Kluyveromyces lactis: one gene and its partner. The protein of the gene in region 1 purifies or fractionates together with the protein of each later gene. This does not show direct contact. Links are inferred from orthologs where the notes say so. Each region holds a gene or a part of one and is shown on either strand. Other genes may lie near its edges.

Evidence for each region.
Region 2: the proteins of TIM23 (region 1) and COX20 purify together in Saccharomyces cerevisiae (affinity purification with mass spectrometry; 3 studies listed by BioGRID). This does not show direct contact. The link is inferred for Kluyveromyces lactis from reciprocal best matches to the Saccharomyces cerevisiae genes TIM23 and COX20.

What each region holds. Positions count from the first base shown.
Region 1 is NC_006042.1:576,787-582,657, forward strand, and holds TIM23 (protein transporter TIM23), read right to left. Parts: upstream 2,786-5,871; coding exon 2,126-2,785; downstream 1-2,125. Other genes in the region: RRT12 (Rrt12p), read left to right, coding at 1-1,427; KLLA0_F06061g (uncharacterized protein), read left to right, coding at 3,927-4,184. UniProt on the Saccharomyces cerevisiae protein: Essential component of the TIM23 complex, a complex that mediates the translocation of transit peptide-containing proteins across the mitochondrial inner membrane.
Region 2 is NC_006039.1:1,305,641-1,310,204, forward strand, and holds COX20 (Cox20p), read right to left. Parts: upstream 2,971-4,564; coding exon 2,413-2,970; downstream 1-2,412. Other genes in the region: IVY1 (Ivy1p), read left to right, coding at 1-798; KLLA0_C14993g (DODA-type extradiol aromatic ring-opening family dioxygenase), read right to left, coding at 910-1,869; ACK1 (Ack1p), read left to right, coding at 3,656-4,564. UniProt on the Saccharomyces cerevisiae protein: Involved in the assembly of the cytochrome oxidase complex. Required for the maturation and subsequent assembly of the mitochondrially encoded COX2, the precursor of subunit 2 of cytochrome oxidase.

The DNA of each region.
Region 1 (5,871 bases):
GGTATGTTTTCAACTTTAAAATCGGCGGGTCCAGTGTCAAGGAATTGATAGAATCGAAGATCCACAGAGAATTCTCATTCGGTAAGTTCAATGCCATTTCTGTTGATATTCCTCCTGTTCTAGCGGATAAGTTGAAAGATGTACCATTTATAAGTGATGTTGTGGCTAATGTGAAGATTAGTTTGTTCGATGAGTTCCCACAAATCGCTTCAGGATTAAACAATGATCAATATGACTTCGAAACTGAAGATGAGGAAGAGGCAGAAGAAGATGAGGGGAGTGATACTTATGAAGATGATGATAATTACGACGAGGATACAGACAATGGAGATACCGATTTTAGCGATGACTTCATCTCACAATCTCGAGCTCCAAGACATCTAGCAAGAATTTCTCGAAGAGCACAGTTACCAGTCATCGAGAAAGATGATACCTCATCTGGATTGAAATACCATTACCATGAAGAACACCAGGGTGAAGGGGTTTTCGTTTATGTACTTGATAGTGGAGTTAATCATGACCATCCCGATTTCGAAGGAAGGGCTATGAAAGGTATTGATACTACTGGAGAAGGCTCCGGAGATCTCGTAGGACATGGTACCCATGTTGCAGGTTTAATCGGTTCCAAGACTTATGGAGTGGCCAAGAAAGTTAATATTGTTGAAGTGAAGGTCCTAGATTCCATGGGAAAAGGCACTGTCACAAATATCATCGAAGGATTGGAATATGTCGTGAACCAATGCATCGGAAAGAAGAGAAAATGTGTCATAAACATGAGTCTCGGTGCACCAGGAACCCATTCGATTTTAGATAAAGCTGTTTCAGCAGTAATCGAAGAGGGTGTCGTGGTTGTTGTTGCTGGAGGAAACAGTGGATTGAACGCATGTTGGTACAGTCCTGCTAAGGTCAGGAAAGCAATTACTGTGGCTGCAATGGACGATAGAACCGATCTAATGGCACCATTCTCAAACTGGGGCGCTTGTATTGATATATGGGCTCCTGGTGTCAACGTGAAATCCCTTTCCAATAAAGGCCGGGGCACTTTTGTATTGAGTGGAACATCAATGGCATCTCCAATAGTAGCAGGTGCAGCTGCCATCTATTTGGATCAAGGTGCAGACCCTGCTGAAGTGAGAAAGATATTGAGTAAGACTGCTACGAGAGGTGTTTTCAAGAAGAGAGCTATTGCTGTAAGACCAAGAACTCCAAATAAGGTTCTCTATACAGGAAACAATCAAGAGGATGATGAATTTGCTTACGCAGTTTACCCGATGATTGATGAGATAAAATTCATGGATCAGTTAAAGCAAGCTACAAGTCGAGTGAAACCGCCAAGTGGCGAGATGATTAATCTAGTAACACATGATAGAAAGATACTTAAACCACGATTGAGTAAGTTCCTAAAAAAAGTGAGTAACAATTCTTAATATATTGACATACATAATATACACTTTGTTTTCGTTTTAGAGCAAGAAATCGTTTCGTTTCGTTTCGTTTCGTTTCAGGAAGACACATGCCCTTTTATTCACATGATATTAATTTATGAGCAAACTAGTGATGAAGTGTCTTCCTTCGTTAGACCATTTCGTTGTAAGTTCGTCACAAATGCTGTTATAATTTGTTATAATTGCTAGAGTACCAGCAAGGCCCGCCTGGAGAGGCAGATAATAGAAAAGAAAAATATTGACGAAAGATGACTTTATTAAAATATATACAAGACCATGTATCTCTAAACAAGCTGCTGCTTTATTTCTAGCTCACTCTTTGATGCTTGATTTCAGATATCGACAGTCTCAAGAATGGTGTAGAAAATGGTAATGGAGTAGGAAAACATGCATGGCGAGAATGGTGCTGTGGTGGAACATAGCATGAATTTGCTAAAATTGTCATCATATTGTACATTATACGAAAGGGGAATTCAACATGCAAACGTAAGATAAAATTGGATGAAATGGGCGGTCAGTAAATACGAGACATTAGGGGCATATTTCACATTTGAAACAGGATCCTCATGCAAACCATTTCTAAGACCCAATGTAATAGTAGTGTAGAATGAAAGGAAACGAAAAAAAAAGTTTATCGTGTGTTTATATATCCACAGGTTTATCCTTTTCTTTCTTTCAACTTATAAGATTACAGACTTGATACCGCACCATCCTGCAGCAGCAGCAGCCATCAAAGCGGATGCGTAACCCATTGGTTTCAATCCTCTAGAAGATCTGAAAATAGCACCAGTTAAAGCACCAGCTGCCACTGAGCCAGCAACATCATGCTTACCTCTGAAAGAATCGATCACTGAGTTGATCAAGTTGTAAGTTAAGGCCAACACACCAGCATTGTTACCCAAAAATGGACCTCTTCTTGTGATATGGTTTAATACTGTATTCAATTGCAATTTACCTGGTGAGTTAGGTGGGATGTTCTTCAACCCTTCAATGAACCCATAAGAACCACCAAGACCTAAACCAACCAAGTATACAGCACCAGTACCGTAACATAAATCGTCTGTCCAACCTCTAGATGGAATCAAACCTTGAGAACCTTCCATTGAAGAAAGCTGTTCTTCTTCCAAATCCATATACTCAACACCACGCTCTAGCCCTGCTAATGGGTGAAGCTGTGATGGACTTAATCCTCCTGGAACAGAAATAACGTTCGACACATTCGAAATTGATGATGGATCGAATCCTAGAGTTTGTTTCAGTTTATCATCATTTTGTTCAACTGGTGTAGTATTTTCTTGTGAGTCTGTAGATGACTTCTTACCACCGAAGAGCCAAGACATAGCTATACTTTATTATTATTATTATTAGCCTTAGTTTATATGGTATCGGTCAAAGGATGAAAAATCAGGAAGAGATTAGACCCGGTCCGTATTCGACAATAATGAAGCCCTGTATTTATCGGAGTATTGCCTTGATAGACTGAAATGCAATGGTAACCTAGCAAAATACCAATACGGAAAAGATGTCTTTGTCTTAGTATCTACAACTCAAACCTTCGAGGGTGATTCAACGTATCATACTACTACTTTAAACACTTTTCGATTGTAAAATTATATTTCACTAATTTTTCAAAATTTCAAAATATTTCAAGAACTACGGTTTTTTTTTTCTTCCTCTTGTTTCTTCTTGCTTCACAAGAGACTCTGTGATTTCAAGACCATTCAAGGTAAAATCAACGAATCGTACAAAATGATGATTCATGTAACCGGAACCGTTCTGCAGATGTAGCTGACCTCTGTTTTGAGCGCAGCGAAGGGTAAACAGAGAGAAAAAAATTTGTCATTTCATTTAGCATTTCTAGCGACAAAAAAAATATTTAAAACTGACGCCCGCCATGAGACAATGTTATTTCACACGACATTGCAAAAGTTATCACTGGGTTTCCAAACAGATATCAACTGAGGTATCTTTGGATGAAACTTTACCTACGCAGATTGATAGAAATCTGTAAAAAGGAGCGCATTGCCCTTAAATTCGTACAAAGAATACAAAGGAAAATTGGGGATTTGTTAGGAAACGACTTTTCTGAAATTATACATTTTCAAACCAGTATATATATATAAAGGGATCCGTATAAACCTTTCATATCAATGTACTGTCGCTAATGTTTTTTTTTAAAATCGCCTGGGATAATTTGTGAAAGCATTTCAGATACTAAGGTAGCATACATGCACTAACGCATTTCAAGGCTTCACACTTTTGAATAAACATAAATTTAATATAAAGAGTGCAGTTTTACATGAAAAGGACGCTGGAACATATGTCAGTCTGCCCCTCAGAAAAACTCCGATGAATAATTTAGAGAATCATCAATTTTCATTCTCTGATGATTTGTTACACTGTGATTACACGATAAAACACAAGCTGTTAACCCGCTTTATGACGAAAAGTTTCACCCAGTGATTGAAATACAAACAAAAAATGGCAGAACGTAGTGCTAGAGTCCAATTTGATTTGTTCGAGTCCGAAAAAGTGTTGTTGCGACACAAATGGATCAGAATATTAGAGGAGATTGACTCCGAAGTCTCAGTGACGCTTGGATTTGATCTATACAATACTAAGAAAGAGGATACGAAGTTGCACCACTGCGAGTTGAAGAAGGTGAACCAAATGAGAGTCGGTTACGACGAGTTCCTATTGAAGAAAATTAAGGAAGCTGGAATACAAAATGCGAAATGATTTCTATCAATCTAAATTTTCATTCCAACAGCTGCTCACCCCTTGTATGCTTAACGCTTTTTTCTATACCGTTGTAACAATTTGTCTATAACTTAACTATCTTTCTCTCATGTCAGTCAGTTTATACTATTTCCGCTTTTTTTTTTCTGACGTCTTGTAGTCGCAAACCACAAGAAACCGCAAGTCACGTGATCTCAAACCCTCATCTATCGCTAATCTATTCTAAAATCCAATCGTTGCAGCTTTCACATAAATAACCGCTGTATATCAACCGAATACAACTACTCCATTTCCTTCATTCAAAGATTTGTTCCCTTAAAACGCCAAACGTTCTTTCAGTCTAAAACCAAGCGCATTGCGGTTAATTGCTATTATCTGCCCAGATATAACACACTTCTTATCCTAAATTCTGTTGCATACCGTTGCTGTCAACGTGACGTGTACCAAATTGTTGGTACATGAATCATCTTGAACGACCACGGATAGTATGAACTTATGGGATCTTTATGAAATGTTCTACAGAAAAACAAAAATCCAACAACGATCCCAACAAGTTTTCAAACTTTTTCTTTCCCAAAAAAAAAATAGTGCTATGAAATTTCAAGTATGGTGAAATCACCACATCGTTTGGATGAAATGCCTAGACTGGGATGTAGAATGGATAGAACCAAGTTTTTTTTTTTTTTCTCTTCTCATCTTTTTGTTTGTTTTGTTAGTTTAGTTGAAATTTTGTCTAGATGAAGTGAAATGCACTCGGCGGCTTTTTATAAAGAAGAGGTTTTCCTGCTATTTTTTTCAAGCAAAGGGGTTTAAATAAACTTCGTGAATTTAAATTATATCAATTCTCTAAATCTTCTTAGGTTTTTATACATTGTATTTTCTGTCTTTCTGAAACCTCTTGACTCACTTTCAATTGATCAGTACTCTGTGGAAACTCATCAAGAGAAAGGGCTAACTAGAAGAGATAAGATATTTTAAAGATATCCAAGGAATAATTTTAGTTTGAAACTGAATTACTCAATATACACAACAAACAACAACAACAACTTGTATTGAGAATATTTATTTGTTCATCCTATCATATTCATTCTGATTTCCTGTTAATATTGACAATAGGAGTTTCACACAATTAAATCTGTCCCTTTTTGAGTACAACTATTACTAAAAGGTCATCAGCCCTCTGACAATTAATATCTGGATATTGCGTCAATTGTATTGAACGCATTTGCCTAGTAATACTATTTTTTTACCCTTCACGATTTTAATTTTGAGGTTATAAAGTTTAAAGAGACTTTTTTGTCCGTGAAAAGATGTATGTATAAACTAAACTAAACTATTACTAATAATGAAAACCTCTTTGGAGTTTATTTTTTGACAAGTTGAGATTGACATTGGAAACAAAGAATTACTGGAACCGCCTTACTCCTCTATTATTACTTTTCAACCAATTGTTTCTCAGAAGATTTTATCTTAATATCAGTTTTTGAGAAAATGAAGATTGTTGGGGAAAAAATACGATACTGCATATTTTGAAATTTTGAAACCGTTTCCTTTTGTACACGATTATTGCGCTAAGGTTTTTCAATGGGTTCTACTTGTTCGTTTTTGAACTTTATTTTTTGGTTGAACGAAAGTTGAAAATTGAAAATCCAATGTTTTTATGCACAATTGAGGATGGCGACTGGTA
Region 2 (4,564 bases), on another chromosome or scaffold:
CTGTTCAAGGAACAAAGTATTAAATTGAAGTTGCAAGAAAGGTATAATATGAATTTAGCGAAAAGGAAAATACGTAATTTGATTTCGTATCGTGATAACTTGTCCCTATTACAACAGCAGTTGGATCAATTGGAAATGCTTAAACACGATTATTATCAAAAGTCATACGAAATGGTAGAATCAACTTGTCAGGCAGTTCTCAGAGATATAGCTACATTGGCAAGAGCACAGATTGAGATAAGTGAAAATATTGCAAGAAAAGGTTGGTCCGGTGGAGGATTAGATAACTTGATAATAGACGCTGATGATCCTTTCAATACCGGTAATGAAGAAGAAAACGATGACAACGAACTTTCCCAACTATCTGGCGCATCTTCGCCAGGTTATTCACGGTCGAGTACTCTCACTCCTAAGAAAAATAGTTCACACTCATCTGATGCGTCTCTACTAAACGGATCTAGGCGATTGCAATCACCAGCGAAAGTGATGGTAACGACAGATGAAAATAAAGATAAAGATGATAACTCCGCTCATGAACATAACAACAGCAACTCCCCTAGTTTCCACTCCGAAAATCAGACAGAATCTGGGACTGATAACTCTGAAGATGCAGAAAATGACGACGGGGATGATAATTTCGATAACTCATTTTCTTTACCATTAACTAGTGCTTCGAATAACAAAGAAGTAAATAACTCGGATTCTAAGGATATTGTACTAGGGACTGATGATGTTATGAAATCTACCAGTGAACTGAATATTGACGATCAATCAAGTATTATTTCTCCCAGTTTGTGATTGAGGTATCCAAAAATGTAAAGCGGATCATGATTGATGAATGTTTTTGACATAATTGGGAATAAATATATGTAATTTTGTAACACTATAAAATGATAAAAAAAAACAGAGTCATAACAGATCACCAAATTGGTATATGCCCCATCCAAGGCTCCCTTGGCATTTGTTGTACAATTCTTTAACATTTAAATCGTCTTCTGTAGGTTCCGCAGCGCCAAGTGCTACAATTATAGGCACGAAATGATCCAAAGTTGGATGAGCTTTAAACAATAGCTCCTTACTCTTACCATCAGTAAAAAACGCCTTGAATTTATCCAGTTTATTATGCTGCTTCGTTAATAGGATATCGTTGAGAACTGACGTAAATTCTTCACTGTAATGTTTGCTACCAGCAGATCCCATATCACGTAAATTATGGACACTCATTCCACTTGTTAAAACTATACCACCCTTAGAACGATATTCTGAAAGAATTTGACCCAATTTGTATTGACTATCAAAATCGAGATCGTTACGGGTCAATGAAACTTGCACCAATGGAATATTATGTTGCACTAGCTCATCATTAGGAAATGCCACTTTCAATGGGACCCACACCCCATGATCAATGCCACGTTCCGTCAATTTGGCCCTTAAACCTGTTTCTGAATGATTGATAGTATTGACTATCTCCTTAGCAAGTGACAAATCATTCTCTGAGCGGAAGGTTTCGTGGTACATGTACTCAGGGAATCCGTAGAAATCATAAATCAACTCGTTTTGTAAACCTTGTTGTAAACTTTTCGGGACAGCAACTTCAATTAGATTGTCAGCTTTGGATTGCCAATGAGCACTCACGTATACAATAAATTTGGGTTTGATATCCTGAATAATTGTTTGGCCAACATTTGCGACAGTTTGGAAAGCGCCAAAATCTCCCCCAAAGATGTCCTTATCCTTTTCGGAATACATGAACGTCGGACCACCATGGGAAAGGAAAAATACGGGAGTTGCGGCTCCAACAGTGCTTGGTGATAATGACATTGCTACAGGTTTTATACTTTGTCTGAATATATTATTGAACCAACTCATAAAAGGAATATTCAAGATTCTGATTCTTGATATCTTTCTTTCATTACAAACGTATCATCTAATTAATGCATTCATTCAATACAACAGTGAAATTAAGATAGCGCATTGATTGTAATTGATGAGACTGTTAGTGATATGCACACATTTATATATGTTAAAATATATACCAGCCGATATTTCAACACTGATCTTTCGATTATTAATTTTTAAAAATTACCTTAGTCCAAAATAGCTCTCGTTAGTCATTTTATTAAGGCCTTACTAAATTTTTCACCACTTGATTTGTCAATACGAAGACAATCTGCGGTCAGAACGAGTCAGCTCTTTAGCGGTAAATTGGAATGTCTGCAGGGGTATGTGCAGTGGTGTATGCAGTGGTATTATAAACGGTATATGTCATTAAATGATGTCCTGTACTATTGTGCCAGGAATCAAGAATTATTCATTCTCACTCTACATGCCTAAAATATTGCCTACGACGTCTTATGTTGGGTAAAAAAGATACGAGGTCACGTGGTGGTAAGTCAATATCATGTCTTGCACCTACCAAAATTTGTACCAAGGTTTACTGTTTCTAGAGCCCTCTTCCCATTCCTTCTTGACTGTATCTATATTCTTAACCTGTTTCAGCATTGGTTTCTCCTTTGCTGCAACAGTCTGTTTGGCCATTGCTGCCACTTGGAAGCTTCGTCTACGACGCATGCGACATTGCTCCCATCCTACAATGGATCCAAGTATGAAACCTCCTACACCCCAATTTGCCGCACGAGCAGGATTCTTATGGTACAAGAACATCACTGATCCGACAACAAACATCGATGTAAACCCTCCGATCCCTGCGTCTCTGAAACATGGAATTGACAGTACCTTTTCGACACTGAAATCTTTCACGTCTATCGTATTCCATGCCTCTTTCAAAGACGCACGTTCCTGCTCTCGAGCAGCCATACTACTGGACTCATTATTGAATTTGGGTTTTGTATCCTCAAATAGAAACTTCTGTCCTTTAGCATAATTCGTTAATTGCTGTTCCTCTGATATACTCCTTTCCACCTCGGTACTTGCTTCTTGCGTTTTACTCTTAGAAAATGGCCACACCATGTTTGCGCTCTGAATATTAAAATATCAATTCAACGGGAGTTTATATTACTTGACAGCTACCTAGGTTAGCTTAATGAAGATCTCAATTGCTGCTTACTTGTCAACGCTTTTAGCATCATCTCATCTTATAATCTTAGTTTGTCAATCAGTTTTCCTACAGACACAACTTTTTCCAAACCGAAAAATAATTGAAAAATATGGAATATTTGGGAAGCGTCAGTATTTAATCATAAAATCAGAAGGTACTTGGAAATTCTTGACCTAAGTGACTTTTTAAACAGTGAAACTATAGCAAGTCTCTGGAAATGCATTCCTAGTTTGTCTTGAACATATTAAACTGACACAATATGTACATTTATTTATCCGTTCTATATTTAAAAGTCGCTTTCTGCGATTCATATGTACTGTCGCAGTAGAAATGAAAAAAAGGCGACAGAATCCGATACTCTGAAAATCAGTAAAATAATGGTAAATTGAATTAATCTGAAACGATGAGTTGCAACAAAAATACAGTGGCCGTTAAGCATTTCAACTAGGCTTCTGGAAACACTGCCCTCTGGTATCAGCTTGAGTCTGTGGGTAAGTGAGTTGCTCTGCAAGTAGTATTGGATTCGAAAGCGTTTGCACGGAAGAAATTCGTAGAAAGGATAGGACATTGGTAAATCGTTCTCTTGAGAGAAATAGAATGGATAACAACCGACAAAGAAACGCGTATGGCAACTACATAAACATGTACCCGCCAGGTCACGAGCCAAGTAAGAATACACCATATCCGGTTGATGATCTGCCCCAGAATCATGTTGCAGATACGAATATTCCATACCAAATGTATGAGAAAGATACAAGACAAAGCTCCCAGTCAACGGTAACGACGCCAGTATCACGACAACCACCACCGGCGCAGCAAGTCAGCATACCCAAAGTGGATAACCCGCCTAGCAGTGCTAAGAGTGAACGGGATCTTTCAAATTACTCTTCCGAGGCTGTCGCGTTTTATGAAGCATATGACAGAACCGTCAAGGACGCAAACAAGTTTACGAAGGATATCCAGTTGAAATGGTGCGAGACACTGTTGCAATATGCGTTCAAGCCCACTTTCTTAATCAGATACAATATCAATGCTGAAAAGTTGAAACGGGATTTAACTGAGACCGAAATGCTACAGAATAAAAGGACCATTTTAGAGCATGCGTTACGCGTGTTAACGAAACTAACTCAGTTAAACTATTCACCAGCGATCTACCTATTAGGGACACTTTATTCCCACCACCCTTACGTAGATATTCCAAGGCCCATGGATATCGTGTCTAAGAATGATGCAAAAGCTCTAGACTACTATCGCAGAGCAGCCGATATGGGTCATAAGGATGCCATGTATCGGACCAGTGTCAGCTACGAGTACGGACGTGGAGTAGATTACACAACTGTGAGTGAATACGAAGCTTTAAAGATTTCACAGAAGTACTATGAAATGGCAGCTTTGACCAATGGACATTCTGTATCCATGTACAAGCTCGGGATGTTCTATTTGAAAGGACTGAGAACGAAATCTGGTGAAATCGTTATCAAAAGAGACCCTGTACAAGCTTTATAC